Linked DNA regions of Macaca fascicularis. The main gene of each other region encodes a partner of the protein of the gene in region 5 in a complex. Links are inferred from orthologs where the notes say so. Each region holds a gene or a part of one and is shown on either strand. Other genes may lie near its edges. The genes, in order: DDX6, CNOT2, NANOS1, ZFP36, CNOT1 and CNOT9.

Evidence for each region.
Region 1: the proteins of CNOT1 (region 5) and DDX6 are in contact, whole or in part, in a crystal structure (PDB 4CRW), measured with the Homo sapiens proteins. The link is inferred for Macaca fascicularis from reciprocal best matches to the Homo sapiens genes CNOT1 and DDX6. Residues at the interface, in NP_057368.3 of Homo sapiens: Glu1097, Ala1100, Phe1101, Phe1103, Asn1104, Asn1105, Leu1106, Ser1107, Ser1109, Asn1110, Lys1114, Lys1137, Arg1138, Ile1141, Glu1142, Asn1144, Phe1145, Leu1148, Tyr1149; in NP_001244120.1 of Homo sapiens: Phe329, Ser330, Arg331, Leu332, Gln333, Ile334, Asn335, Gln336, Leu357, Gly358, Tyr359, Ser360, Leu384, Arg386, Asn387, Ala402.
Region 2: the proteins of CNOT1 (region 5) and CNOT2 are in contact, whole or in part, in a crystal structure (PDB 5FU7), measured with the Homo sapiens proteins. The link is inferred for Macaca fascicularis from reciprocal best matches to the Homo sapiens genes CNOT1 and CNOT2. Residues at the interface, in NP_057368.3 of Homo sapiens: His1864, Ser1865, Ala1866, Ala1867, Arg1870, Asp1871, Gln1917, Pro1921, Ala1923, Pro1925, Ala2003, Tyr2036, Leu2039, Glu2040, Ser2043, Arg2045, Ile2048, Ala2049, Ala2053, His2054, Leu2079, Leu2084, Lys2086, Gln2089, Ile2090, Leu2091, Tyr2092, Lys2093, Gly2094, Leu2096; in NP_001186231.1 of Homo sapiens: Met350, Val351, Asp353, Gln354, Phe355, Gly356, Met357, Ile358, Gly359, Leu360, Leu361, Phe363, Ile364, Arg365, Gly372, Met373, Val374, Leu376, Ala377, Leu378, Gly379, Ser380, Asp381, Leu382, Leu385, Leu387, Asn388, Leu389, Ser391, Glu393.
Region 3: the proteins of CNOT1 (region 5) and NANOS1 are in contact, whole or in part, in a crystal structure (PDB 4CQO), measured with the Homo sapiens proteins. The link is inferred for Macaca fascicularis from reciprocal best matches to the Homo sapiens genes CNOT1 and NANOS1. Residues at the interface, in NP_057368.3 of Homo sapiens: Ile2327, Ile2330, Lys2331, Trp2338, Glu2350, Phe2353, Gln2354, Val2356, Ala2357, Met2361; in NP_955631.1 of Homo sapiens: Phe40, Ser41, Ser42, Trp43, Tyr46, Leu47, Leu49, Thr51.
Region 4: the proteins of CNOT1 (region 5) and ZFP36 are in contact, whole or in part, in a crystal structure (PDB 4J8S), measured with the Homo sapiens proteins. The link is inferred for Macaca fascicularis from reciprocal best matches to the Homo sapiens genes CNOT1 and ZFP36. Residues at the interface, in NP_057368.3 of Homo sapiens: Gln821, Glu835, Asp845, Ala848, Asn849, Phe852, Gln853, Tyr856, Asn894, Glu897, Glu898, Phe901, Gln904, Tyr905, Pro906, Glu909; in NP_003398.3 of Homo sapiens: Arg314, Arg315, Leu316, Pro317, Ile318, Phe319, Arg321, Ile322, Ser323, Val324, Ser325.
Region 6: the proteins of CNOT1 (region 5) and CNOT9 are in contact, whole or in part, in a crystal structure (PDB 4CRU), measured with the Homo sapiens proteins. The link is inferred for Macaca fascicularis from reciprocal best matches to the Homo sapiens genes CNOT1 and CNOT9. Residues at the interface, in NP_057368.3 of Homo sapiens: Ile1415, Ala1416, Thr1418, Thr1419, Gln1422, Ile1423, Lys1426, Asp1427, Phe1428, Met1444, Asn1447, Leu1448, Gly1451, Met1452, Met1454, Ile1455, Arg1458, Glu1459, Tyr1548, Gln1549, Arg1552, Met1553, Pro1554, Gln1556, Ile1557, Leu1559, Val1564, Lys1567, Gln1568, Leu1569; in NP_005435.1 of Homo sapiens: Arg19, Glu20, Tyr23, Ile26, Asn27, Ser30, Ser31, Pro32, Arg35, Pro54, Met55, Trp57, His58, Ser59, Phe60, Gly61, Ile63, Ala64, Ala65, Leu67, Gln68, Val71, Asn72, Tyr74, Pro75, Ser76, Ile77, Asn78, Pro79, Thr81.

The regions. Positions count from the first base shown.
Region 1 is NC_088388.1:117,625,495-117,630,285, reverse strand, and holds part of DDX6 (probable ATP-dependent RNA helicase DDX6), read left to right. Parts: intron 1-849; coding exon 850-996; intron 997-2,894; coding exon 2,895-2,989; intron 2,990-4,791.
Region 2 is NC_088385.1:77,069,573-77,074,363, forward strand, and holds part of CNOT2 (CCR4-NOT transcription complex subunit 2), read left to right. Parts: intron 1-36; coding exon 37-193; intron 194-3,453; coding exon 3,454-3,515; intron 3,516-3,604; coding exon 3,605-3,654; intron 3,655-4,791. UniProt on the Homo sapiens protein: Component of the CCR4-NOT complex which is one of the major cellular mRNA deadenylases and is linked to various cellular processes including bulk mRNA degradation, miRNA-mediated repression, translational repression during translational initiation and general transcription regulation.
Region 3 is NC_088383.1:128,034,194-128,039,140, forward strand, and holds NANOS1 (nanos homolog 1), read left to right. Parts: upstream 1-1,864; 5' UTR 1,865-1,952; coding exon 1,953-2,819; 3' UTR 2,820-3,666; downstream 3,667-4,947. UniProt on the Homo sapiens protein: May act as a translational repressor which regulates translation of specific mRNAs by forming a complex with PUM2 that associates with the 3'-UTR of mRNA targets. Capable of interfering with the proadhesive and anti-invasive functions of E-cadherin.
Region 4 is NC_088393.1:46,480,271-46,485,582, forward strand, and holds ZFP36 (mRNA decay activator protein ZFP36), read left to right. Parts: upstream 1-2,161; 5' UTR 2,162-2,203; coding exon 2,204-2,245; intron 2,246-3,054; coding exon 3,055-4,011; 3' UTR 4,012-4,735; downstream 4,736-5,312. UniProt on the Homo sapiens protein: Zinc-finger RNA-binding protein that destabilizes several cytoplasmic AU-rich element (ARE)-containing mRNA transcripts by promoting their poly(A) tail removal or deadenylation, and hence provide a mechanism for attenuating protein synthesis.
Region 5 is NC_088394.1:54,635,128-54,639,918, reverse strand, and holds part of CNOT1 (CCR4-NOT transcription complex subunit 1), read left to right. Parts: exon of another isoform or gene 1-963; intron 964-1,014; coding exon 1,015-1,263; intron 1,264-2,478; exon of another isoform or gene 2,479-3,037; coding exon 3,038-3,201; intron 3,202-3,357; coding exon 3,358-3,475; intron 3,476-4,791.
Region 6 is NC_088386.1:114,504,388-114,509,178, reverse strand, and holds part of CNOT9 (CCR4-NOT transcription complex subunit 9), read right to left. Parts: intron 522-4,791; coding exon 342-521; intron 1-341. UniProt on the Homo sapiens protein: Component of the CCR4-NOT complex which is one of the major cellular mRNA deadenylases and is linked to various cellular processes including bulk mRNA degradation, miRNA-mediated repression, translational repression during translational initiation and general transcription regulation.

The DNA.
Region 1 (4,791 bases), on a different chromosome or scaffold from region 5:
TCAAACTCCTGAGCTCAAATGATCCTCCCGTCTCAGCCTCCAAAACTGCTGGGATTCCAGGTGTGAGTTACTCACTGTGCTACCCAGCCCAATTTTTTAATACATCTCGGTGTCTAGATTATAAGGGCAGTGTTTCCTTTTCTTTTCTTTTCTTTTTTTTCTTTTTTTTTTTTTTTTTTTTTTTTGAGTTTTGCTCTTGTTGCCCAGACTGGAGTGCAATGGTGCGATCTCGGCTCACTGCAACCTCTGCCTCCTGGGTTCACGATTCTCCTGCCTCACCTCCCTAGTAGCTGGGATTACAGGCATGTACCATCACGCCTGGCTGATTTTGTAGTTTTAGTGGAGATAGGGTCAGGCTGTTCTCAAACTCCAGACCTCAGGTGATCCACCCACCTTGGGTGGATCCCAGCACTCCCAAAGTGCTGGCATTATAGGTGTGAGCCACCGCATCTGGCCGCCTTTTTTTTTTTTTGAAGCTGAGTCTCATTCTGTCGCCCAGGCTGGAGTGCAGTGGCGTGATCTTTGCTCACTGCAACCTCCGCCTCCAGGGTTCAAGTGATTCTCCTGCTTCAGCCTCCTGAGTAGGTGGTATTACAGCTGCGTGCCACCAAGCCTGGATAATTTTTGTATTTTTAGTAGAGGTGGGGTTTCACCGTGTTGGTCAGGCTGCTCTCAAACTCCTCGTGATCTGTCCACCTTGGCCTCCCAGAGTGCTGGGATTACAGGCTTGAGCCACTGCATCATAAGGGGCAGTATTTCTGTAGCTTCTTGAATTTTGTAAATATAATGTATAGTATGTTCTCCCACCTCACCCCATATTTTCTCATATGTTCCTTGATGTTGTTTCAGCAATGGTGATTGTTCCCACTAGAGAACTTGCTCTACAGGTCAGTCAAATTTGCATCCAGGTCAGCAAACACATGGGAGGGGCCAAAGTGATGGCAACCACAGGAGGAACCAATTTACGAGATGACATAATGAGGCTTGATGATACAGGTAAGAAATGATTACTAAAAGGTAGTGTAGCTCTCTGTAATTTTAGTCTCAAGTGTTTCAGTAAATTATTAAAAATTATTTTTAAGAATTAAGGAACAGAAATCCTGCAGTAAAAAAAGGAAATGACCATTGCATTCAAGAGAAAAAAACAGATTGACGGTAATTGAAAGCAATATTTGACTTTATTACTAATTCTAAAACAGCAAGTTTATAGTAATTTTACCTGTTTAATTGGTAAAGCTAAAAGTAGTAGTAGACATTAATGTGAGTTTGTGGAGAAATAGGCTATGTTGTAAACGTGGGGGTGTCAACTTATCTCTATCATGAGCAATTTGGCAGTCTTATTTTAAAATTATAAATTATATTTTTAAGAATCTTTCCTGAAGAAAAAAGTTGGGTAAATGTAGGGCTGTATGTACAAAGTTGTTTACTATGGGGTGGTTTGTCGTGCCAAAAAATTGGACCAACTTAGAAGGAGATTGGCTAAATAAATACATTATAGTCTGAATAGTATTCTACATAGTCATTAAGGAGTGAAGTTGATCTGTATTCATTTTCATTAAGATTTTCATGATACATTGCTGAGTGGAAAAAGGTAACAAAACAGCAAGAATGAGATCACTCATAAAATTATATCTAAAATTTTAGTTAGAATACTATATATAATTATGTGATATATTCTTTGTATTGCATAGGTTTTTTAAAAATTGTTATCTTGTTTGATCCTTTTAACAATACTCGGTTCACTGTTCCAGATTAGAGGCATTGCTTTTATGTCAGAAGTCTGGTGTGCCTTCTGTTATTAATTGGGAATTACCCTAAGACAAGAAAGTATGCCTCCTGTTGGAAGCAGGTGATTTGGGAAGCTGTACCCCACCCAGTGTAGAGGTGAAAAGTATTTTTTAAGCATCCTGCGGTGAAATGGAAGACTTTATCCTAAAACACATCTTTGGACCTTTTTGTGTTATTCCCACCTCTATAACACAATGTGTTTCTTTTCTTTTTTTTTTTTTTTTTTTTTTTTTTTTTTTTTTTTTTTTTTTTTTTCTGAGACGGAGTCTCGCTCTGTCACCCAGGCTGGAGTGCAGTGGCCGGATCTCAGCTCACTGCAAGCTCCGCCTCCCGGGTTCACGCCATTCTCCTGCCTCAGCCTCCCGAGTAGCTGGGACTACAGGCGCCTGCCACCTCGCCCGGCTAAGTTTTTGTATTTTTAGTAGAGACGGGGTTTCACTGTGTTACCCAGGATGGTCTCGATCTCCTGACCTCGTGATCCGCCCGTCTCGGCCTCCCAAAGTGCTGGGATTACAGGCTTGAGCCACCGCGCCCGGCCGTGTTTCTTTTCTTTCTTTTTTTTTTTTTTAATTTGAGGCACAGTCTTACTCTGTTGCCCAGGCTGGAATGCAGTGGTGTGGTCTCGGCTCACTGCAACCTCTGCCTCCTGGGTTCAAGCGATTCTCCTACCTCAGCCTCCTGAGTAGCTGGGATTACAGGCTCCCACCACCACACCCAGCTAATTTTTGTACTTTTAGTAGAGACAGGGTTTCACCATGTTGACCAGGCTGGTCTCGAACTCCTGACCTCATGTGATCCACCCACCTGGGCCTCCCAAAGTGCTGGAATTACATGGATGAGCCACGGTGCCCGGCCTAGTGTTTCTGATAAAAGATAGTCATGTGCTGCATAACAATGTTTTGATCAGTGACAGACCGCATGTATGTCGGTGTTCCCATAAGATTATAATGGAGCTATACAGTGGAGTAGGCTGTACCATCGCATAGCAATGCATTTCTCAGAATTATCATTAAGCAACTGAGGACTGTAATATGATAAACCTTTACAATATCCTTTTTGCCCAAATTAAAATTAATGAGAATATATGTTTTCTAAATCTTGCATAGTGCACGTGGTGATTGCTACCCCTGGGAGAATCCTGGATCTTATTAAGAAGGGAGTAGCAAAGGTTGATCATGTCCAGATGATAGTGTTGGATGAGGTAATATCTCTTCATTTGGCATTATACTATTCTGTACTTTTCTGTGCTTTGCTTATAACTGCCAGTGAATGAAGCAAAAGCTGCTTGTGTTTATGATCTAGTAAACACATAAGCGATCAGTTTAAATTAATTTGCTTATAAAATGTGTTTTACCTGTCAGCGGGAGTAGATTATAGGCATTCATTGGAATTCTCCTTTTTGTCTTTTTCTTAGAGATAGCAGAGATTAGGTTTTATTTTCATTTTTTAGAAGAGGAGTGAATAACCGCAAAGCCAAATTTATTCTACATCTCTTTCTACTCGGCGATTAATTTTTTTTTTTTTTTTTTTTTTTTTTGAGACGGAGTCTCGCTCTGTTGCCCAGGCTGGAGTCCAGTGGCCGGATCTCAGCTCACTGCAAGCTCCGCCTCCCGGATTTATGCCCATTCTCCTGCCTCAGCCTCCCGAGTAGCTGGGACTACAGGCACCCGCCACCTCGCCCAGCTAGTTTTTTGTATTTTTTAGTAGAGACGGGGTTTCACCATATTAGCCAGAATGGTCTCCATCTCCTGACCTCGTGATCCGCCTGTCTCAGCCTCCCAAAGTGCTGGGATTACAGGCCTGAGCCACCGTGCCCAGCCTCGGCGATTAATTTTTAAAAGCATATAATATATATTGTCTCCTTTTGTGCATACTACTTTGTAGTGTTTGGTTATTAATCTCTGTTAGACATATTATCTCACCATGTTATAAATGCCTTTTAAAAACTTATTAAAATCTGTAGTCCTGGGATCTAGCCATGTTTTGTACATATATAGATGGTCCCTGACTTACGATGGTTCACTTTATGGTTTTTCAGTGGAAGTGATAAGCTTTTATTAGAAACCGTACTTTGAATTCTTAAGATTAATTTTTTTCCTGGTTAGTAATATGCTATATGATATTCCCATGATGCTGGGCATCAGCAGCAAACTGCAGCTCCCAGTCAGCCACATGATCATTGAGGGTAGACAGCTGATACTGTACAGTATACGGTGTTGTCAAGTGATTTTGCCCAACTATAAGCTAAGTGGAGCATGTTTCAAGGAGGCTAGGCTAAGTGATGATGTTCAGTAGGTTTGGGTAGTATTTTCAACTTAGGATGAATTTATCAGAACATAATCCCATTGTAAGTCAAGGAGGATCTGTAGTGTATCAGTGTTAATGTTTTGACATGAGGTTATTTTCACATTTGGTTTGTGTTTTATTATTATTACTATTTTTTTGAGACAGACTCACTCTGTTACCCAGACTGGAGTGCAGTGGCGTGATCTCGGCTCACTACAATCTCTGCCTCCCGGCTTCAAGTGATCCTCATGCCTCAGCCTCCTGAGTAGCTGAGATTACAGATGTGTACTACCCACACTTGGCTAATTTTTGTATTTTTAGTAGAGGCAGGTTTTCGCCGTGTTGGCCAGGCTAGTCTTGAACTCCTGACCTCAGGTGATCCTCCCGCCTCGGCCTCTCAAAGTGCTGGGATTGCAGGTGTGAGCCACCACACCCGGCCTGGTTTGTGTTTTAGGTAACATTTAATTCAAATCAGGCTTTTATCTTTAAGTAATGAGAGAAAACATTTATTAGTCACTGGGTACCAACACTAAGTGCTTTACTTTTTTTTTTTTTTTTTTTCATTTAATCTTTACAAGAAACCTATAAGGTAGGTGTCCTGTCAAGTAGTTACTATAGTATGTAGACATCCAGATTTTAATTTGCTTATAAAATATGTTTTATACTTCAGATGCAGTAGTTAGGCATTCGTAGGAATTCAGCTTTTGTCTTTTTCTT
Region 2 (4,791 bases), on a different chromosome or scaffold from region 5:
CTTGAAAATAAAAGCAACTGTGTTTTTTCTACCCAGGTCGGGTTACTAACATTCCTCAAGGGATGGTGACGGACCAATTTGGAATGATTGGCCTGTTAACATTTATCAGGGCAGCAGAGACAGACCCAGGAATGGTACATCTTGCATTAGGAAGTGACTTAACAACATTAGGCCTCAATCTGAACTCTCCTGAGTAAGTTTTTTCTGTTTTTTCATGTCTGTATATAATACCTCTTCAGACTTCCAGTTTTTAATATCATGTCATCAAATTGTCTCACCTACTGCTACTCATTGTAATCTGTTTTTTCTCTGGGTCATTCGCTTGCATATTAGCTCTTAGATCACTGGCACTCTGCAGTATTCCTTTTATAATTTGGCATTTTATATGTCTGTGTGTGTGCATGTGTGTGCATGTGCAAGTATGTATATGTGTGTGTGTATGTATGTGTATATATATACACACACCTTCCACAATCCTGAAATCTCAGCTCCTTGAATTTCTTTCCTCCAGGAATTTTTGTCCTGTAGTATACTTCAGCCACTCCTTTAGTTATCCCTTTGACCTAGTCATTGTTAGTAACTGCAGTCTCTCAATTTTAAAATCTGTGCTCACATGCTTTCCGATTTCCACTTTCTATTTTCTAGTTATCTTCTTCTGGTACTGTAATTCCTGTAATCATTTCACTCCACCGGGGCCTTCAATCTATTGATTCTTCTGTGTTTTAACTGTTCTTCCATATCCCTGTCTCTCTTCCTCTGTAATCAACTCCCTTCTTACCCATGAAATTCTGTGGTCAGTCGTAATTGTTCATTTACATATCCCGTGACTACTTTGCCGTTTTCTCATGTTGTTATACTTGCATGGCCAAAGCTACAGTACTGGTTGTTTCTGCCTATTTCATTCCTGACCTGTGCTACTGAGCCCTGCTAGAGAAAAACACATGGTATCACTGCCTGGGCTTCCTTTATTTTCGTACCCAGGAACCTCAAAAGTAGGCTCTTAATTCTACCAGGGATAATTATACCTTGCATGCTTAGTCCATTTACTCTTTTCTCTCTTACGCAATTACATACACTTCTGCACACCCCTAATACCTTTTCTCCTTGTTCTTACTATCAAATGATGACCTTGCTTTTTACTTTTACTGTCCTAAGAAAGTTGGAAGCAATTAGAAGAGCACATTTAGCACAATCTAGCCACCAAATCTGACTACCTACAGCCATCTACATCTACGTTATTCTTGTCTTCCACCCTATTACTGCAATTGACCCATGCGTTCTACTTAACAACAGATTTTCACACTTTGTTGGGTCATTTTCATCAACATAGAAATACATTGTTACTTCTCTCATCTTAAAATCTTCCTTTGATCCAATCTCCTCTGTAAGTTACTTTCCCATTTCTTTGTTTCCCTTTGAAGCAAAACTTTTCAAAGAATCATCTCAATTCCTCCAACTTGGTCTTCTCCATTCTCTGGTAAGCCCATTTCAGTCAGGATTTTGTCCCTGCCACTTCACTAAAGCTGCTTTTATTCAGGTCACCAAATGACCTCTATGTTATTAAATTCAGTGATCACTTGGAGGAACTCTTGCTCCTTAATACACATTCTCATCCTTGAATTTGAGAGCACCATTTTTTACATCATCCTCACTGGTTGGTCTTTTTCAATTTCCTTTGCTGGTACCTCCTCCTTTTCTTCTTGACCTCTTTGTGTCATTCCTCTTCTCTGCATTTAGATCCTTGATGGTCTTTTCTAGTCTTATTGTTTTAAATACCATATATATTAAGGAATCCCAAACATATGTTTCCATTCCATACTTCTGAGTGTGAGATTTCTACATTCAATTGCTAATTAAATATTTCTTGAATTATCACCCCCCAACTTACTCTGTCTACAGCCTTTCCAATCTCAGTCAGTGGTAACTCTGTACTTCCAGAAGCTTGACATTATTCTTAACTCCTCTTTCTTTTATACCCCATAATCAGGCTTTTGCCAAAATATATACAGAATCTGACCAAAGTTCACTACTTTTTAACTGCTACCACCCTTGTTTGAATCATTCTCTCTTGCCTGAATACTCCATTAGCCAGTCCCTGGGGGTCCCTGATTGTCCTTATCCCCCTTCTCATACAATCTCTTCATATAACAGCCAAGAGAGTCCTTTTTAAATAAATTACTCCTCTGCTCAACACCCAGAAAGAGTTTGTGGTTTCATTATGATTAAAAACCCCAAATCTTTTTTTTTTTTTTTTTGAGACAGGGTCTTGCTCTTGTTGCCCAGGCTGGAGTGCAGTGATTCTATCTTGGCTTACTACAACCTCTGCCTCCCAGGTCCAAGCGATTCTCCTGCCTCAGCCTCCTGAGTAGCTGGGATTACAGGCATGTGCCACCATGCCCAGTTAATTTCTGTATTTTTAGTAGAGACAGGGTTTCACCATGTTGGCTAGGCTGGTCTCAAATTCCTCACTTCAAGTGATCTGCCCATCTTGGCCTTCCAAAGTGTTGGAATTAAGGTGTGAGCCACTGCACCTGACCAGAAACCCCAAATCTTTACAGGCCTACAAGGTCTTACATGATTGTTGTTTGTCCCCTAACCCCACCTCAACAGCTTTTCCCTTTGTTCACTGTATTCCAGCTTCGCTGGCCACCTTGTATCTCAGACATGTCAGTCATGTCCCTGCCTTAGTTGCTTTAGCAGTTCCCTCAGACTAGAAGAGTCTTCTGCCAGATAATTAATATGATTATCTCCCTCATAGCCTTCAAATCTTCAGATCTGACCACCTTAATGAAACCTAATTGACCACCCTATTTAATAATTATCTGTCCAGTCTCCCCTCCCAGTTCCCTCTAACATGGGCCGTTGTTTATTTATTATGTTAATTGATTTTTGTTTGCCTCCCTCCAATCCACCATTCCTCAACCAGAAAGTAAGTTTCATGTTGTCAGTGATCTTGTTTTGTTCACTGACGTGTCATAAGCTCCTGGAACAGTGCCAGGCATATAATAGGCACTCAGTAAATATTTGATGAATTTAAACTTTTACAAATAGTTACTCATTTTTCTTCTTGCCACATAAATAAGTGGGAAAGTAATTTAAATTGGGAGCATGGTATCAAAGAATTTAAAGCATCTTGAGTTGAAGTCAAGTAAAAGTAGAAAATTTTTAATCATATGTTTTGTATATTGTGATATGTTGTGTTATTTATACTGTGTTGCAAGAATACTGAGGGAAGGAGTCTTATCATATTTTACACACACACACACACCTCCCCCCCACACACACACACACGCATTCTTCGTCTGCTTCTGTATAAGTCGGTAAACCCAAGTAAGGGAATTAGAAGTAAAGATGGTCATTTTACATTTGGAGTCTTTGTTTTTCCTGAAATAAAATTAGAAATCTGTTTTTCTGCTTTGGATTTCAAAATGTTTTCTTTTCCTCCTTATTCAGAAATCTCTACCCCAAATTTGCATCACCCTGGGCATCTTCACCTTGTCGACCTCAAGACATAGGTAGGAGAATCTATTTGTGTTTAGGCCTTTTAAAAAGAAATTTACAACTGAGAATCAGTTAATAAGGCTTTTTTCATTTTATTATCCAGACTTCCATGTTCCATCTGAGTACTTAACGAACATTCACATTAGGGATAAGGTGAGTGTAGTTTATTATTCTACTCAGTCAGCACGAATTTATCTATTTTTCACGTGTTTTTCAGTTCAGGCAGCATACTATTTTTGAAATAATTAGTAATGGTCTCAGGGATATGCTTTCATATGTCCATGTTAACTTGTTAAATGGTAAATGTTAGGACTGGTAAAAAATAAAAATTCTTATATTTAACAACAGGTTACAACCATAACCACAGTTGGTGGGAATAAACTAGATTGGAACATTTGATAAATTTCCTTCTGATAATCTTATTTTATGATCTTAGCAGTAAAAAGATTTTCTTTACAAGTATTACAGATACAGTGTTTTTAATGAGATGATCTGTATCTTTAAAAACTATTTATGACCTTGACTTTTCTCTGTATTTTTTCATTTCCATTTTTTTAAATCACCTAAAATTCTAATTCTAAAGTAATTATTAACAACAAATTACAGCTTAATCTCTCTTTTTTCAATCTAAGAAAATGGTGGCACTTTTTGCTTTAGAACTGAGTGTTTCTATTACCAAAAAAATTCACAATGATATCTACATTTTAGCCTTGGGAAACAACAATTTAGTGAAAAAATAATACATTTTTGTTATATATTTGTGTATAAATATGTATGTGTATGTATATATATATATGACAGCATTATGAGGGTGCCTTACAGTTCTGTGGTCAAGTGGATGTTGATGTTGTGACCAGGCAAGTAAAAGGGATACCTTTCTCAATGTCTTTTAATACTTCAGTAGATGGAAGGCAAGAAGTATGAGATGGAGAGGTCTCCTATTTTCTATTTGTGGATTGTGTGATTTGCTCTCACCCCCACTATAGAGCTCTTTTGCTCCAGTTACCTAAGCGTTCCAGAACCTTTTCTTATTGCCAATTCGAGAAATACTAATTTAGGAGAATTTGTCACGTGGGGGCTGCTGCCTGAATAGGGATAGCATGAATGGAGAGAAAAATTACATTCAGATAATCTGTAATAGCCAAATAAGTATTTAGATACAGGATCAAATAACAAGGTAAAAATGTTGTTTTGGTACACTTTTAAGGTTTATTTAAATGTGAACATTTCTTGGTAGGCGGTTATGTTTCTACCTTGTGGAGAGAAATGTAAAGCAGTTATCTTTCAGGC
Region 3 (4,947 bases), on a different chromosome or scaffold from region 5:
GGCACAGCCAAGACCTGTGAGTGTGTCTTCAGGCCTAGTGAGGGCTCATTGTTTCCACAGCCACTGCATGGTCCAGAGTGGGGAAGGAAAGCCCCACCTGCCCCATGAAGCCCACGCTGCCAGGGCCCACCTGCCAGGGGAGGCATTTTCCTGATCCCAGTTCTAGGTTTCGTCCTAGAAGAGCCCTCAGTATCTAAAGCTTTTCCTACTTTCAATTTTTTAAAAAGTTGGAAAGGGTAAGACCACCTGCCATCTTCCTAATCAAAACTCATCTTCTGGCTCTTATTCTCCGTGGCTTTTCCACAACATGTTTTATTCATTTCAAAGTATTTAATTATAACGTCGAGGCAGGTGTGGTGGCTCATGTCTGTAACCCCAGCACTTTGGGAGGCCAAGGCAGGAAGATCGCTTGAGGCCAGGTGTTCAAGACCAGTCTAGGCAACATAGTGAGACCCTGTCTCAAGAAAATAAAAAATTAAAAGAAAAAAAAGCAAGAAGATAAAAGAGAGAGAAATAAAGAAAGAGGCCGGATGCGGTGGCTCACGCCTGTAATCCCAGCACTTTGGGAGGCCAAGGTGGGCGGATCACGAGGTCAGGAGTTCAAGACAAGCCTGGCCAACTAGTGAAACCCCGTCTCTACTAAAATAAAAAAATTAGCCGGGCGTGGTGGCGGGCATCTGTATTCCCAGCTACTCGGGAGGCTGAGGCAAAAGAATTGCTTGAACCCGGGATGAGGAAAGAAAAAAAAAAGAAAAGGAAGGAGGGAAAGAGGGAAGGAAGGAAGGAAAGAAGGAAGAAAGGGAGGGAGGGAGGGAGGAAGGGAGGAAGGAAGACAAAATATAACATTGAACACACGTTGTTTTTCAAACTGCACATATAACCCACATTTTGACTCAGGCCTCTGGGTCGAGGAGGTACACACACACACACATCCCAGTCACTGTCCTAGGCTCTCCAGCCATGAGGTTTTCCGGCCCAGTCCCAACCCCGACCTAAGTCACCGGGTATCGGCCACCCATCGGCTGAGGTCCCTGAGCACCTGTTGGGAGGAAGGCTGCTGCGAGGAGCGGGAAAGTCCTGCGTCCCTCCGCTCTTACCGCGGCAGGAACCACAGCCTCCCCGAACCTCACGGTGTGTGCGGATTTCGCTCAAGGGAAAGCGCTCCAACGCGCGGTGCAAACGGAAGCCACTGGCTGGTTGGGCGGCTGTGATGGGAGAGCTGCATCCTCCCATCGCGTCCAGCTTTTCATGCTGATGTTGGTGAGAAGAGGGTGGATAGCGGGGATTCTCAGGATGCGGACCTGGGGCCATTAAAGGCCGGGAGGTGGAGGCGTAAACCTGTGGCCACCCTGACCCCTGTCCTCGGTGGGCCTCACCACCAGGCCGAGGAGACCCAGGCCTGGTCACCTGCTCCAAGGCCAGGCCCGGCGCGCGAACGAAAGAGGACCTCAGCAGCAGTCCCTCCCCGGCCCTTCTCTCCCCTACTTTCTCCTCACCTACCAGCTGCGTGAAGAGCACGCCCCCTCCCCAGTCCCCACCAATCAGCGTCCGGAGCGGCGCCCGGGGCCCGGGGGGCTCTGGTCTGCAGCCAATGAGCGCCACGGCCCGAGGCGGCGCCTCGCCCGCCCCCTCCCGGAATGAAGGCCTCCCGACAGCTGGCGAAGCTGGCGCGGCGCGCGGGGCGCGGGACCCGCGCGGGCCGGAGTGGAGCGCGCGCACAGCCCGCCCGCCTCCGCTCCGCCTCCGTCCGGGGCGCGGGCGAGGTGGTCGGGGCGGGGGAGCGCAGGGGGCAGGGCCGCGGCGGCGAGGCCGGGGGGGCGGGGAGGAGCGGGCCCGATAAAAGGCGGCGCGGCGGCCCCACCCCGCGGCAGGCCGGCGGGCAGGCTCGGCGTGTCCCTTCCGTCCGGCCCGCGCCGGCGGCGGGGAGGCGGCGCGCGGCCCGCAGCCCGCCCATGGAGGCTTTCCCCTGGGCGCCCCGCTCGCCCCGCCGCGGCCGCGCCCCCCCGCCCATGGCGCTCGTGCCCAGCGCCCGCTACGTGAGCGCCCCGGGCCCGGCGCACCCGCAGCCCTTCAGCTCCTGGAACGACTACCTGGGGCTCGCCACGCTCATCACCAAAGCGGTGGACGGCGAGCCGCGCTTCGGTTGCGCCCGCGGTGGGAACGGCGGCAGCGGCTCCCCGCCCTCCTCCTCGTCCTGCTGCTCCCCCCACGCGGGGACTGGGCCTGGGGCGCTGGGGCCGGCGCTGGGGCCGCCCGACTACTACGAGGACGACGACGACGACGACAGCGACGAGCCGGGGTCCCGGGGCCGCTACCTGGGGGGCGCGCTGGAGCTGCGAGCGCTGGAGCTGTGCGCGGGCCCCGCCGAGGCCGGGCTGCTGGAGGAGCGCTTCGCCGAGCTGAGCCCGTTCGCAGGTCGTGCCGCCGCCGTGCTGCTGGGCTGCGCGCCTGCCGCGGCCGCCACTACTAGCGAGGCGACGCCGCGCGAGGAGCGGGCCCCGGCATGGGCGGCCGAGCCCCGGCTGCACGCGGCCTCCGGGGCGGCGGCCGCCCGGCTGCTGAAGCCGGAGCTGCAGGTGTGCGTATTCTGCCGCAACAACAAGGAGGCGATGGCGCTCTACACCACCCATATCCTCAAGGGCCCCGACGGGCGAGTGCTGTGCCCAGTGCTGCGCCGCTACACGTGTCCCTTGTGCGGCGCCAGCGGCGACAACGCGCACACCATCAAGTACTGCCCGCTCTCCAAAGTGCCGCCGCCGCCCGCCCGCCCGCCGCCCCGCAGCGCCAGGGACGGCCTGCCTGGCAAGAAGCTGCGCTGAGGGCCCGGGCTCCCGGCCACCCAGGGTCGCCGCCGCCGCCCCTCGCACCACTAGGTCTGCGCACCATCTTGCCCCCGCCGTGGGGAGGCGTGCGGCTCAGCGGTCGGCTCGACTTTGGGACGTCGTCCTGGTGGTTTTTCAAAAGCAGCCGACCGTGTGGAGTACTTCCGTGCCGAGCAATATGGGACTAGACGGTGAAATCACCATGTCTTCAGTTTCTAGTTTGCACATCCAGAACGGCGAAGGCTGGGTGTGTATTCCACTAACTGAAATACGGCAACTTAGAGGCGCTGTTTATTTACTGTATACGTGGACCTATTTTAGATGCGCATCAGTATGAAATTGTCTCAATCTAGGATGTTTCATTTTATGAATGGAGGCACTTTACTAGGTCTAGAATATTTTTTTAAAAGCCTCTGAACTGAGCTTAAAACTGGCGATTTTATGAAATGTCGGCAAAATGACTATTTTATTGTTTGAAGCAATATTCTTAGTTGTCCTTAAAAAATCAGTTACTCTAATTCCAGGTGAAGCAAGCCGCTGGTAGCATCACCCTTATGAGAAGTGAAGGTTTTGTAAACTTTCCAGTATTAATTTGGGCGGGTATTCCCTCCTTGTGGCTTGTTTCCGTCCTAGATGGAGGTGTAAAATGCACAATCTGTAGCAGGTAGAATACAGCTCCTTATCCTTTTATGTACCAGATATTTTATTACTGAACTAGCAACTAGCCTTTTCCACCTTTAAAAGTTGTGCTAAGTCATAATCATATTGTGTATAACTTGGAAATGGTGCTGTTTAAAAAAACTGTGTATTTATACAGTAACTATGAATTCATCAATCTCACCTGTAGCTTTTCTACTTGGCCTTTTCTCGACGCACTCACTTCCAGTTCTCTCAAAACGTTTGATATTAAGATCAAAGGGAAGAAGGGAAGACAGCAGTCTTCACCCTAGATTGCTCAATTTCAGGGTTCCTAGTGGAGGAAAGCCCATTCCAGCTGTTGCCTCTTAAATAGAAGATGGATCTCTAGCTCTGAGCTATTCGTGTATTAACTCGTATTCAAGAAGGTTCCACCGTGGGCTGCGTCTGACTTTAATATAGGCAGTGCTCAAACTAGAATAAGCACTAATTAAAGGAATTGTTGGGGGTCTTTCATGTTCCCACTCCTACTGGAAGACCCATGTCCATTTCCGGAACCCCACCAGTTCCCCATAAGCAAGACTAAACCTGATGGGCAAAAGTTCCTAACCCCTACTTTACCCTCCCACCCTCACTTTTAAATCCACCATACTGAATGCCACATTATGGAATGCAGCTACCTGCCAATCAAGACAATAGAAGGCAAAAAATAGAAGTGAATTAAGATGAACTCATCTGAAATACACAAATGCATCACTATCTGAAGATACCAGCAAGAGATTTAGTCTACGTGTATAGGGCTCCCAGTAGGATTTAGCTAGGCTACTATAAGTTAGACTGCTTTCATAATAACAGCTAACTTCCTCCACAGCAAATTGGCTCAATCAGGAACCTTCATTTGAAGGTGTGTTAGAGGGTGGAGTAAATACCCAATAGCTGTCTTTCTGGTCAAAGAAAAGGTGCAGCATATCAAGAACTTGGGGGCAGGGGAAAACACTTTCTTAGCCGGGAAAGAAAAATAATCCAACGCTGCTAGTCTTAACCCCAGACCAGAGAACTGCTGATCTGATTGGGCCTAAATTAAGTAGCTTAATGAAACCCTGTAATTACTTGTTCTCCTTTCTTTTGCTAGAAAATACACCGGTTTAAATGAGCTTCGCTTTCTGGCTGAAGTTTCTAAGGCCAACATGAATCCTCTTACCTCTCCCACTGCTGCTGTTCTGCCTTTTCAAAAGGACCACCATAAACAGATCAGTGCATTCTCTAGGCCAAAAGGGCTAACCAGGTGGCAAGATCAATTTAGCTCCTGTGTATTTCTAGAGTCAAATTACAGACGGTTTCCAAAGGTCTTGGAGGCTTTGACATAGCCTGAATATATGGGAGTCACTGTGATGAGATGTGTCTAATGTTAATTTGATAGTCTGACACCGCTACTGTTCTACCAGAACTAAGAACATACTGAGCTGGAGCTTCCTGAGGGCAAGAGAGT
Region 4 (5,312 bases), on a different chromosome or scaffold from region 5:
CCTGTAATCCCAGCACTTTGGGAGGCCAAGGCGGGTGGATCACGAGGTCAGGAAATCGAGACCATCTTGGCTAACACAGTGAAATCCCGTCTCTACTAAAAATACAAAAAAATAGCCAGGCATGGTGGCGGGAGCCTGTAGTCCCAGCTACTCGGGAGGCTGAGGCAGGAGAATGGCGTGAACCCGGGAGGCGGGGCTTGCAGTGAGCCGAGATCTCCCCACTGCACTCCAGCCTGGGTGACCGAGCGACACTCCGTCTCAAAATTAAAAAAAAAAAAAAAAAGGAAAATGTAGTCTGAAGGCACACCCCACTATAAGAGGCCCATCCAGCCATCAACTGAGGATGACCCATTTTTTTTTTCTTTTTGAAAGCTTAAAACAGCTTTCAATCAATGCAACCATCCATTATAGTGAAAGACCTCCACCTTGCCAATCTTGAGTTTTCTTAGAGGGCAAACCTCAACATAATTTCAGGCCCTGGTAGGAGGCCTCTGCCGTTTGCTAGCTCGAACTAGAAGAGTAACGTTTATTACCCCCTTGAGAGGGAGTCTCACTCTGTGGCCCAGGCTGGAGTGCAGTGGCGGGATCTCAGCTCATGCAACCTCCGCCTCCTGGGTTCAAGCGACTCTCCCACCACAGCCTGCTCCCTCCCCGCCCCCCAATAGCGGGACCACAGGCGTGTGACACCGCACCCAGCTAATTTTTGTATTTTTGGTAGAAACGGGGATTCACCATGTTGCCCAGACTGGTCTCCAACTCCTGAGCTCTCGTGATCCGCCCGCCTTGGGTGCCCAAAGTGCTAGGGCTACAGGTGTGAGCCGGGCAGGAGAGTAACTTCACTTTGGTTTCCTCCTGCCTTAAATAGGCATACCACCTAGCATTAGGATGAATGTGCGTAAAGCATTTAGAACTCAGCCTAGGTGAGTTCTCCTTAACTCAGCCTAGAAGAGATCATCTGCCTGAGGATGAGGGGCTAGAGCCGCCCTGTGACTTGGGAAAGGAGGCCCCTTTTCAGCCTTGCTAGGCATCCTGGACCCCAACCCACTCACTCACCCACCCAACCCCAGCAAGTGGGGAGAGGGAGAGCAGTTCTGGTCTCATCTGTCTGGGCTGTTTAGGAGTGAGACAACACAAGGCAGGCAGTTCTCAGAGAATTCCCCTCCAAGGCCTGCCGGCTCTTTCTTGGCACTTTGCTTGGCAGATTTCTTTCTGTAAGTGCTTGTTTCTCACAGTCTTTCTCCTTTTTGTCCAGTTTTTCTTTTTAATTTTTTTAAATAGTATTTTTTGTAGAGATGGGATCTCACTGTTGCCCAGGCTGATCTTGAACTCCTGATCTCAGGTACTCCACCTGCCTCACCCTCTCAAAGTACTGGGATTGGCCGGGCTTGCTGGTTCGCACCTGTAATTCCAGCTCTTTGGGAGGCCGAGGTGGGAGGATCCCTTCAGTCTCGGAGGCGGAGGCGAAGATCACCCTGGGCAACATAGGGAAACCCCGTCTCTCAAAAAAATAATAATGAAGAAAAGAAAGAAAGAAAGAAAAACACAAAAAGTGCTGGGATCACAGGCGTAAACCACTTGCGCTCAGCCCCTTTCTGTTTCTTTTTGTGATCCTCCCAACCCTCTTCTCCCTCTGAATCTGTCTCTGGGACTGTCTCTGTCTCCCCACCGTCCCTCCCCTGCTCACCCTATCTCTCCCTGTATGTGTCTCTCGGTGTGTGTGTGTCTCTGTTTTTCTCTCTGCCTCTCTCCCTGTCTGTACCCCTCTGCGTGTCTCTCCCCGCCCCCGTCCGTCTGTGTCGCACGCGCACCCCCATCGGGCCTCTGCCCTTGTCAATTGCCCCTGAAGCCCTGCCCCCACCTCCGCCCCAGTTTCCTTCTACACGCCTCAGTCTCCAGCTTTGAAAACTGGGCAGGCGCCCCCCCGATCCGCACCCCCACCCCGACCCCCACCCTTTCCCCACGCACTCCCCGCCCGGTCGCGGCTGTCCACCGGCCAAGCTCAGGCGCGTCCTGGCCCAGGGCCGGGCGGAAGGGAACCAGTCCAGGGCCAGCCGGGCTGCGCCGGGGGCGCGCGTCCGGGAAGCGCCCCTCCTGCCCCGCCCCTGGCCCAGGCCCCGCCCCGTGCTTGCTGTTTAAGTAGCCGGCTCTCCCTGCCAGCCTCAGCCTGACTTCAGCGCTCCGACTCTCGGCCGACTCCCCTCTAATGGCCAACCGCTACACCATGGATCTCACTGCCATCTACGAGGTGAGTCCCCACCGCACGGCACCCCCGGTACCTGCACACTTGACTCCCCAGCTCTCTAGCGCCGCAAACTCCATCCCGGGACGCTTGCCTCTCTTCTCCAACTGGGGCTTCCTAGCGCCCTGCCCTCCAGCCTGGGGCCCCTGCCTCCCGCTCAGACCAGCTTGGTGATTTGGAGGTGAAAATGGAGCCCACGACTCCCGGCTCTTGGCCCAAACATGGGTGGGGCGGCCCGTGCGAGTGGAAAGTCGGAGAACTTTTCTCAGACCTAGGCTGCCTGGAGGCGGAAGTGGCCCCCACACCTGGCTCACCCCTAGTCGTCGCTGAGGGCGTGGTTTTGCGCGGAGGCGTCTCTGGGGCTGAAGTCTCAGGGTGGGGGGGATCCGACTTCTGTGTCTCCAGTCCCTGACCGTAGTTCTCTGAGAACCCTAAAACCGAAGCCATCCGGACTCCTGGGTCAACTTTGCCCGGTTCCTCCAGTTGTGAAACTGGAGATCCTGACGCGTGGGTCATATCTGGGGAGGGCAAGAGACCCAAAATTGGGAAAAAGTGGTGTGCCCTGACTTCGGGGCCCCCTCTTGGTCCAGCCGGGAAAGCCGGGATTCCTGGGTCCCTCGGGATAAGGCCTCGATCGTGGGTAAACTCAGAACCTCCAAATCTGGGTTCCTGGCATCCGGAACCCAGGGGTTTTTGCAGGCGGGTGGGGCTCAGGCCAGGAGCCCACAAACCGGCCTGGCAAGCTCTAGTTCCCTGCAGCTGGGGTGGGGCGTCGCCCTGCATTTTCGGGTACCTTAACCGACCCATTTCCGCAGAGCCTCCTGTCGCTGAGCCCTGACGTGCCGGTGCCATCCGACCATGGAGGGACTGAGTCCAGCCCAGGCTGGGGCTCCTCGGGACTCTGGAGCCTGAGCCCCTCCGACTCCAGCCCGTCTGGGGTCACCTCCCGCCTGCCTGGCCGCTCCACCAGCCTGGTAGAAGGCCGCAGCTGTGGCTGGGTGCCCCCACCCCCTGGCTTCGCACCGCTGGCTCCCCGCCTGGGCCCCGAGCTGTCACCCTCACCCACTTCGCCCACTGCGACCTCCACCACCCCCTCGCGCTACAAGACTGAGCTATGTCGGACCTTCTCAGAGAGTGGACGCTGCCGCTACGGGGCCAAGTGCCAGTTTGCCCATGGCCTGGGCGAGCTGCGCCAGGCCAATCGCCACCCCAAGTACAAGACAGAACTCTGCCACAAGTTCTACCTCCAGGGCCGCTGCCCCTATGGCTCTCGCTGCCACTTCATCCACAACCCCAGCGAAGACCTGGCGGCCCCGGGCCACCCTCCTGTGCTTCGCCAGAGCATCAGCTTCTCCGGCCTGCCCTCTGGCCGCCGGACCTCACCACCACCACCAGGCCTGGTCGGCCCTTCCCTGTCCTCCAGCTCCTTCTCGCCCTCCAGCTCCCCGCCACCACCTGGGGACCTTCCACTGTCACCCTCTGCCTTCTCTGCTGCCCCTGGTACCCCCGTAGCTCGAAGAGACCCCAGCCCACTCTGTTGCCCCTCCTGCCGAAGGGCCACTCCTGTCAGCGTCTGGGGGCCCTTGGGTGGCCTGGTTCGGACCCCCTCTGTACAGTCCCTGGGATCCGACCCTGATGAATATGCCAGCAGCGGCAGCAGCCTGGGGGGCTCTGACTCTCCTGTCTTCGAGGCGGGGGTTTTTGCACCACCCCAGCCCGCGGCAGCCCCCCGGCGACTCCCCATCTTCAATCGCATCTCTGTGTCTGAGTGACAAGTGACTGCCCGGTCAGATCAGCTGGATCTCAGCGGGGAGCCACGTCTGTTGCACTGTGGTCTCTGCATGGACCCTAGGGCTATGGGGACTTGAGGGACAGTAATCAAGTAATCAAGTAACCCCCTTTTCCAGAATGCATTAACCCACTCCCCTGACCTCACACTGGGGCAGGTCCCCAAGTGTGCAAGCTCAGTATTCATGGTGGTGGGGGATAGAGTGTCTTCTGAGGTTTTTGACCAAAAAAAAAAAAAAAAAAAATGTAGCATATTTAAGGGAGGCAGTGAGCCCTCTCCCCACCTCTTCCCTGCCCAAATCTGTCTCATAGAATCTTACGTGCTGTGAATAATAGGCCTTCACTGCCCCTCCAGTGTTTATAGACCTGAGGTTCCAGTGTCTCCTGGTAACTGGAACCTCTCCTGAGGGGGAATCCTGGTGCTCAAATTACCCTCCAAAAGCAAGTAGCCAAAGCCGTTGCCAAACCCCATCCATAAATCAATGGACCCTTTATTTATGACGACTTTATTTATTCTAATATGATTTTATAGTATTTATATATATTGGGTCGTCTGCTTCCCTTGTATTTTTCTTTCTCTTTTTTTGTAATATTGGAAACGACGGTATAATTATAAGTAGACTATAATATATTTAGTAATATATATTGTTACCTTAAAAGTCTATTTTTGTGTTTTGGGGCATTTTTAAATAAACAATCTGAGTGTAAGCTGGGATCCTGGCTTCTTCGCGGTCTAGAGACAGGAATGGGGAGGTAGAGGGTGACTTTTTGGAAGCTGGGTGCAGTCAACTCTGCTTCTCCGAGCCCCGCGGCGCTTACCTGGCAGGAAGTGACGTCACCGGGCCTGGCAGTTCACCTGAAAGGGTGGGACCAGGTGAGGTCACCAGATGGGAACCGGGGGAGCCAGTTCCCGGGCGTCGGGGGCGCTGCGCTCCCGTCCTGCCGGGCTCCTTGACCTAGCTCTCGGGCGGGCGCGGGCGGGGACTGAATGTTTCCGTCCCCACGGGGCCGCGGGAGGCGGGAGGCGGGAGGGGCCGGGTGGGGAGGACGGAATGTGCCGGGGCGCGGGCCCAGAGCGAGCGGGGGCGGGGGCGGGCGCGGGGCGGGGCAGCCTGGGGTAGCGGAACGCGTTTCGGGACTAGGGGTTCCGGGGGGGCTTCGACACCTTCTGGATGTTGGGGAAGCGGGTTTTAGGGTCTCAAGAGTTTAGGGTCTCAACATTTGGGAGTCTCAGATTGTGTCCCCTAGCGCTTTAGACTCTAGACCCCTGGTGGCTCGGAGTGGC
Region 5 (4,791 bases):
CTGAAAATTCTTTCCTTCTTGTGCTCCTACTTGACCATAGTACTCTGTCCTTATTCCTCAGTCACTTTTAGTTTTACAGATACCAATGTAGACAAAGTCCCTTTGCCATGCTGGCATTCTGTCCTAGTAGGGTGCAGTATTATCATAGTCTAACCAATTCAGTTGTCTTTATTGCTTATCAGGGACAGTTGTTTCAGAAATTTCAAGGTAACCTTGAAGTTTTTTTTTCTGAACTTGGTTTCTCTGTTTAGTAAGTACTGACCTGTTCTTCCTCTGTAGCCTTAATGCATATTTCACTGTTGTCTTTTTTGTTTGTTTGTTTTAAAGGAGTGAGGGGAACTAGCCAAATAACATTCCCGCTGTGCTTCACTTCTAGTTCATATGTCATATAGTTTCTAATTTTTCCTTTCTTTTAAATAAACTTGTGTTTCCCACATTATTTTAACTTAGTATAACATTTTATTACATTAAAATACCTAGATCAGATTTGTGTGTATTTCCATTTGGTACTTACCTATTGTACAAATTATTGATTTTTCTGGGGGTAGCTTGTTGGAGTTTTAAAAGCTTTGTTATTAAGTCAGTTTGAGGAAATTATCTTCAAATCCTTGAGAAGTAAATTACCTTAAATTCTGTGAGAAAGTAAAATACATGCAATTTAGTCTCCTCTTTGGAGTCCACAATGTCTTAATGTGACTTAAAGTTACGAACAGTTGGTTTTATTTGCATGGTTAATTTTCCACATTATTTGGTGGGGACATACTGTTCAAAATTGCCATGATAATCTGTCAGTTTCCATCTTCCCTGTTCTACATTAAACTTAAAACTGGAGGAATTGTGTCATGGCACCTTAATGGGAAAATAATTCTGATAATACATTTATTACAATGTAAGAATTAGAAATATGACAGTAGGAACAAATGAGAATATCTCTTAAGCATGAAAATTAAAGGTATATCAAGTTTATTTGTGTGTGTTATCTCATTGTGTCTTTATTTTTTGTTCCTGTGGTAGATGCACCAGCAAGGAATACTGAAGACTGATGATCTCATAACAAGGTTCTTTCGTCTGTGTACTGAAATGTGTGTTGAAATCAGTTACCGTGCTCAGGCTGAGCAGCAGCACAATCCTGCTGCTAATCCCACCATGATCCGAGCCAAGTGCTATCACAACCTGGATGCCTTTGTTCGACTCATTGCACTGCTCGTGAAACACTCAGGGGAGGCCACCAACACTGTCACAAAGATTAATCTGCTGAACAAGGTCTGAAACCCTTTCTTGCCTTAGTCTTGGTCTACATCAGTGGGATTTTTTTTTTTTTTTTTTTTTTAAAAAGAGTCTCACTCTGTCACCCAGGCTGGAGTGCCTCCCAAGTAGCTGGGAATACAGGCATGAGCCACGATGCCTGGAGCTTTTCTATTTTTAGTAGAGACAGGGTCTCACCATGTTGCCCAAGCGGGTCTCAAACTCTTGGCCTCGAGTGATCCACCTGCCTTGGCTTCCCAGAGTGCTAGGATTATGGGGATGAACCACCATGCCCGGCCACATCAGTGGTTTCTTTTTTTCTTTTTTTTTGAGACGGAGTCTCACTCTGTCGCCCAGGCTGGAGTGCAGTGGTGCGATCTTGGCTCACTGCAAACTCTGCCTCCTAGATTTGTATCTACCTCCTCTCTACACCATTCTCCTGCCTCAGCCTCGTGAGTAGCTGAGACTACAGGCACTCACTACCATGCCCGGCTAATTTTTTTGTATTTTTTGTTTTGTTTGTTTTATGTTTTTTGAGACGGAGTCTCATTCTGTCACCCAGGTTGCAGTGCAGTGGCGCAATCTCGGCTCACTGCAAACTCTGCCTCCCAGGTTCACACCATTCTCCTGCCTCAGCCTCCCGTGCAGCTGGGATTACAGGCGTCCACCACTGCGCCCTGCTAATTTTCTGTATTTTTAGTAGAGACAGGGTTTCACCGTGTTAGCCAGGATGATCTTGATCTCCCGACCTCGTGATCTGCCAGCCTCGGCCTCCCAAAGTGCTGGGATTACAGGTGTGAACCACCGAGCCGGGTCACATCAGTGGTTCTTAACCCTATTTGAGTCCCTCAAGTGATCTGCCTGCCTCAGCTTCCCAAAGTGCTGGGATTACAGGCATGAGCCACCATGCCTGGCCACATCAGTGGTTCTTAACCCTATTGAGGCCAACCCTTCCCCAAAACATTTTGTTAACTCCTCTTTTCTGTCCTGAAATTAAATTTGTAGATAATATGTAAACATATCCGCTCTGTCTTAGAAACAGAATATAGTGCCTTAATAGAAACACAAAAAGAGATCATAATGTATTTCAGTATGTTAATGCTTGGTAGTGACTACAGTATGAATTTGCCCCATACACAGAATCACTGTGAGTGGGTGGCTAGAAGTTTCCCCTGCTGATAGATTGGCAACTCAAGTACGTGAGTGACATTAGCCATTGGCTTATTTACACAGTGGAGTTCTTGGAAATCTGAATATTAAAGCAGTGCAAAAATACGTGTAAAAATGGATTTTGATTTTGGATTTGGGAAATTAGAGATGTGTTCTTCAAGCCCCTCACTGTTCAGTGGGCAAGTCAAGTGGAATGAGATCTCTGCAGCCTAACAGCTTTCCTGGCCCCTGCCTACTAAATGCCAAGATAAGTGTAAATCATTGCCACATGTCAACTTCATGTCAGACCAGACAAATTAGATTGTTATATTGTGTTTAACATGGTGAAATGTAAGGGGGCCTTGCTGATTTCTAGAGCTGAAGAAAAACCATTGGGCGTTTGTAGAGAATATTCAGGTGTGGTCCAAGGATGTTGAAATTCAAAGAAACACACAAAACACTGAAGGTGGAGTCAGACCAATTTATGGCCCCATCGGTTGCCAGCATGTAATTTTGTATTCAAATTGTATATATGCTTTCTTTTAATGTTGGGTTTAAGAATGCAGAGTTTAAAAAGCATGACATCAAAGTGGTAAGTGAATTATCCGAATGATTTACAAGCTCTAATTTGTGTTTTATATAGGTCCTTGGTATAGTAGTGGGAGTTCTCCTTCAGGATCATGATGTTCGTCAGAGTGAATTTCAGCAGCTTCCCTACCATCGAATTTTTATCATGCTTCTCTTGGAACTCAATGCACCTGAGCATGTGTTGGAAACCATTAATTTCCAGACACTTACAGCTTTCTGGTGAGAATTGCGTTTGAAATTTTGTGTTAAGGTTTGCTGGATTAATGTAGTAAAATTTGGGGAGTAGAACCCTTGAGCATTTTGAGCCTACATTCATGTGCTGTTCACTGTATTTAAGTTGGACTGCGCTTCTGACTAAGGTTTTTCTTCTTTCAGCAATACATTCCACATCTTGAGGCCTACCAAAGCTCCTGGCTTTGTATATGCCTGGCTTGAACTGATTTCTCATCGGATATTTATTGCAAGAATGCTGGCACATACGCCACAGCAGAAGGTGTGGCTGCAGTTTATCTCCTGTACATGAAGACTATGACTACCTGGGCTTATTTATTAGCATTGCCTATAGATTTCTGTTAGTCATTTAGTAGTAATTGTACTTCTTCCAAACTTAGTTGGGAATTCTATTAAGTGTTCACTCAAGTCAAGTACTTGACTGTCTCTGCCTGAAAGCCATTCTTCAGTGATTAGGTGTTGCTGCTTCAAGGTTGTGGGCCCCCTGTGTCAGTCTCTCAAGTTTTTTAAAATTGTTTTTTCCTTTCTTTTAAAATGTTTTGCTTCTTTATACACAGGAATGATTTATTTTACATATTTGTCAGTTAAGGGGTTTTTTGGGGTGGTAGGGGTGTTGTTTTTAAAGTTGAAATCCATGTGTGCCCTCATAAATATCTGAATAAATCTCTGGGTAATAGGGCTCTGGAGCTTGTTGATTTTAGACTCTCACTTTAAATGTGGAAGGCTCTCAAACTAAGGTTGAGGACTACTGGGCTATGTTATTTTGAAGGATTATGATCCAGTTCTATTTAAAAGTTCTTTATCTAATTGGTAATACAACACAGTTAACATGAGAAGTTCTTTTCCTCCCATCTTGGAATTAAATTGGCAAATGAGTACTGCAGAAAGTACCATTTTTTGGCCCCTCAGATCAGAAGAAATGTGACTGCTATGTAATGGAGTGAACTTGACAAAGAAGGTGAAATAGCTCTTAAATGAAGTTGGTTTTGTTTGGTGGAGAAGGGTATTCTAGGAGACAGAAACACAACATATTAAATACAATTATCCAGGAATTAATTGAACATAATTGGTATAGTTGGGGGAGGGTGAGCAGGCCGACTTTGGCTGAAAATAGAGAATTCATGTTGTGGACTCAACAAGGTTATTTGCAAAGAGTTGAGGAGTTGAAAGAGGGAAAAGAAATGGCCGAGACTTAATAAGGAATTAAGAAAACACATTTCTAGTTGTCAGTTTCTGCAGTTGACTGTTTTGTGTTCTATCAGAAGTTTCCTCTTTAAATTTTTAAATTTTGCTGCAGGTACACAGGGACCATTATGTCTTGAAATCTCTGGAGCCAGTTTGTTTCAAATATTATTTCCCACTATCTCTGTAATAACTTGGTCCTTTTTAATCTTTTTAATGCCAGTCTTTTTTCTTTTCTTTTTTTTTGAGACGGAGTTTTGCTCTTGTTGTCCAGGCTGGAGTGCAGTGCCGCGACCTCGGCTCACTGCAACCTCTGCCTCCCAGGTTGAAGTAATTCTCATGCCTTAGCCTCTGGAGTAGCTGGGATTACAGGTGACCAGCACCACGCCTGGCTAA
Region 6 (4,791 bases), on a different chromosome or scaffold from region 5:
TCCCGCTGTCATGTAGATTTATCTTACGGTACTCCTAAAGCTATGTCTGTCAAAGTGTAGTTCTTAGATCACCCGCATCACAATCATCTGGGGGTGGTGAAAGTGCTTATTAAAATATAGAGTAGAGGGCCCACCTCAGACTGACTAAATTGAATCTCTTGGGTAAGGATCCAAGAATTTGCATTTTAACGAATACCTCAGACCTTTCTAAAATAGGTTCTTACGAATGCAGATTTTTAAAGAATCATCCTCCTAAAGTCTTCAAATCATTTGGGCAAAAGTAAAGAAATATACAAGGGTAATGAAAAGAACTGAACTGCCAATCATGGATATAAACCCACCTGTAAAAGTGCTGCAATAGTACCAAATGAATGCCACAGCATGGGTGCAAGGTCAGGAACAGACTCTCGCTTCTTACTTAGCTCCAGCAAAGCATTTTCCCTTGTCTCAGGACTCGACAGCTCATTGATCCACTGATAGATCTTTTCTCTATCCACTTGTGCCAGTGCAGTAGGCACAGGCTTCAGATGAAGACAAGAAAGTAAATATGAGTTTATTAGAGTCAAACCAAGTCTTACCCTGCAACAGAGTTTTAGAGGAAATATATTTTCCATGAATACCAGGGGAGCTTTTCTAAATACATACATTTGATGTCAACTATTCAATCTCTTTGGCAGTTACTGATGAAAATCTAAAATGCACACATACCCTTTGATAATTCCATGTTTAGGAATTTATCCTGTAGGTATAATTGGGCTGTGCTAAAGATATACCAGGATGTTTACTGTTCCACTGTTTTAAAAGCAGAAAACTGGCCAGGCGTGGTGGCACACGCCTGTAATCCCAGCGTTTTGGGAGGCCATGGTGGGTGGATCACTTGAGGTCAGGAGTTCGAGACCAGCCTGGCCAACATGGCGAAACCCCGTCTCTACTAAAAATACAAAAATTAGCTTGGTGTGGTGATGGGCGCCTGTAATCCCAGCTACTCAGGAGGCTGAGACAGGAGAATTGCTTGAATTTGGGAGGTGGAGGTTGTAGTGACCCAAGATACGGCCACTGTACTCCAACCTGGATGACAGAGCAAGAGTGTGTCGCCAAAAAAAAAAAAAAAAAAGCAAAAACAAAAGCTAGGTGTGGTGGTGCATGCCTGTACTCCTAGCTACTCAGGAGGCTGAGGCACTAGAGTTGCTTGAGCATGGGAGGTGGAAGTTATAGTGAGCTGAGATGGCACCATTGCACTCCAGCTTGGGCGACAGAGTGAGACTCTGTCTCAATAAATACATAAATAAATGCAGAAAACTGGGCTGGGCGTGGTGGCTCACGCCTGTAATCCCAGCACTTTGGGAGGCCGAGACGGGTGGATCATGAGGTCAGGAGATGGAGACCATCCTGGCTAACACGATGAAACCCCATCTCTACTAAAAATACAAAAAGTTAGCCAAGCGTGGTGGTGTGCCCTTGTAGTCTCAGCTACTTAGGAGGCTGAGGCAGGAGAATGGCGTGAACCCGGGAGGCGGAGCTTGCAGTGAGCTGAGATCACACCACTGCATTCCAGCCTGGGCGACAGTGCGAGACTCCATCTCAAAAAAAAAAAAAAAAAAGCAGAAAACTAACAAGTATCTTCTCAATAAGAGACTGGTTAAATATTGGTGCAGCTTTATAATGTGATACTATGTAGTCCTTTAAAAAAAGCAGCAGCTCTCTATATACTGAATATTGATACTAAGTAAAAACAATAAAAGGGTTACAGAAGAGCATATAAAATGTTTCCATTAATACATACATATATAAAAATAAAAAATACATTCTTACACATTTACATATAACATTTCTAGAAGGACACATAAAAAACTGTTAACTGTAGTTACCTCTAAGGTTGGGGATTTATAGGGAGACTTACTTTTCATTGTTTACACTAAAACCTTTTGCATAAACTTTTTTTTTTTTTTTTTTAAACCATATACACATAATAGTTTTTGAGAGAAAAAAAATTATGCCTTCCCATTACTGGTCCCTCCCCAGTGATTCTGACATCCCCCCTCAACTGAGCAGAAAACCTGTAATTTGGAAAAGCTCTCCCTCTTAATGATTCTGCAATATATTATCTAACTACATCCCTTTGAGAACCATTCATTACTTACTCATGTAGGAAATACAGACTTAATAGGGCATGCTTTCATCATTATGCTAAAGAATCACAATATTCCCCCCAAATCTGAGTATTTTATTATTCTCTACAGTCATCAAATATCTTTGTGATCTTGGTTAAGTTCCTTAATTATTCTTATCTGGAAAACAAGATGGGAGACTAGAAAAATGATAATGGCTACCCCTAAGCTTTAAAGTGCTAACAAATTCCTGGTGATTTCTATCTCCAAGCCCAAAATTCTCAGGTAATTGCCCCCAACCATGAGAAATAAAAGAGGAGGTGGGGAAAAGCTATCTACACTTGCAGATGAGATCACTAATGTTCAGAGGAATTAACTCACTCAATTTAACCAGGTATGAAGTTGCATATTCCTGTACTTTTTTGAACTATAATACAGTTTCTCACAGTACTTACAAGTTCCCAATAGACCTTAGCATGACAGAATGATGACCTACACATTGTACAGATGTAAAGACAAAGAACAAAAAGAACTGCCTTTGTTGAAGAACAGAATTAAGCATAAAATAGACTTTGAGTGGATTCAAATTTACTCTATCCAACCTGAATAATGGCCTTTTAAAAATGGAAGCTTGATTATAAGCTCTTAGCCTGATGTTTATTATTTCACTAGCCTGACAGAAAGAACCACAACGTGTTCTGCTAAATAGACTGAAATACAATGCAGCTTAAGCTTTCTTTGAGTGCCTTACAGTAATCTGCTAAAAGCTGTTTTGTAACTCCCTTCAGGGATGGCCCTCAAGGAATCAATCATAGGCTCTTAGAGCAACAATACGATAGAAGGAATCTGGTAGCTTTTTTCCTCCTTTCCCCACAGCAAAAGCAGTGTTGTTCAGGCACTTGCCCTTTCTAGGCAGCCACAAACAGGCCCTCAACTTAAAAACTATTTTTGGAAATGTAATTCCTACCTGAAGATAGGGTATGTGTTTATTTAGAATATTACATCACCTTAGACGCTCAGCAGGAACACAAGATAAAATTTTAGCATTAGGTTTCCTGCCCAGTCTCTTGGATGACCCCACAATCCAGTAACTAAAGGAGGCCTCACAGACACTGGTCTGGCAATACAGTACCTATCCTGATTAATCAGTACCCATTCCAGTCGATCTTCCCCAAAGTCTTGTCATACTGATACCACCATCAGTAAACTCCATCACCCCTACTAGAGCCAGTCTGTGACTTGCAGTTGGCATCTTGTACCCCATCTTTGCCCTTGTAACCACTGATTTGCATACCATGACTCCTGAACACCAGGCCCCATCCCCACATATTCTCTTTCTGGAGCTGGCCTGATGCCCGCAGAGAAGATGGCACTGCTGGCAGTGGTGTGGGCACTCTGAAAGGCCAATGCCTGGTGCGTACATGGGTTCCTAAAGCCATGGACACCTGCTGCTAGCAGTATTCCAATTTGTGAGATTATTTGTGGGGGCTGCAGCCTCCATGTGCTTTTGATTCTAAGAGAGCTAGAACCATGTCAGATGGGTGGTAATGTGGCCCCCATGGGCACTAGCTTGGTGTTATGGGTTCTGCTGTCATTCTAGCCAAAAGGAGGGCAGTTTGGTGCCAGGAAATATCTAGGGTAGGGATCCTCCTTTTCATCATCCCTGCTGAATTTCACCCCCAATTTAATAGCAGTAGTAAGTTACACCAACTGAATACCCACCTGTCATGGGACGAATACAATTTTTTAAAAATAAAAATGAGAGCTTAAAACATACAGGGCTTACTCTGTCAGGCACTGTCCTAAATACTTATAATACTTATCAGCACTCTCATTTTATAGATAAGGAAAATCTGAGGCACAGAGAAGTTATTTAAAATTTAAATGGCAAGCTAGGATTTGTACCCAGGTGGCACAGGGTGTGGCACAGTGTGTGCCACCCAGTGTGGCAACAGGGCCCACACTTCTGCTTTGCTAATACAGCTTCTCATCTGCCTGAAAGACGAAATCTGATCTAAAGATGACTTTTTTTTCCCCCCCTGAGATGGAGCCTCGCTCTCTCTCCCAGGCTGGAGTGCAGTGGTGTGATCTCAGCTTACTGCAACTTCCGCCTCCCAGGTTCAAGCGATTCTTCTGCCTCAGCCTCCCCAGTAGCTGGGACTACAGGCATGTGCCACCATGTCCGGCTAATTTTTGTATGTTTAGTAGAGTTGGGATCTCACCACGTTGGCCAGGCTGATCTCAAACTCCTGACCTCAAGTGATCTGCCTGCCTTGGCCTCCCAAAGTGCTGGAATTACAGGTGTAAGCCACTGTGCTCAGCCTAAAAATGACTTTCTAATAAATTATATTACTTGACCTAGACAATATAGTTAATACGTAAAAATCTCAGACAGTAAGTAAAATGTTATCGGTGGTAGTTCAACAAAATCTGAAAGAACACTCAGTACCATGAACAGTAGCATTGATGTTAGGAGAAATTCTCTACTTATTGAGATTACAAAGCACTTAATAGGTGTTGTTTTCAGAGAGAAGTCAGTGCAATAGTTTGACATAGTTCCCTGTGTCACATTATGGATCAGATGGGGCATTAATTTACTTAGTGAGAACCACCAATACAAACACACAGACATATAACAAGCAATTTTATAACACACATATAGGAATTTCATTGTTTTGGAGAG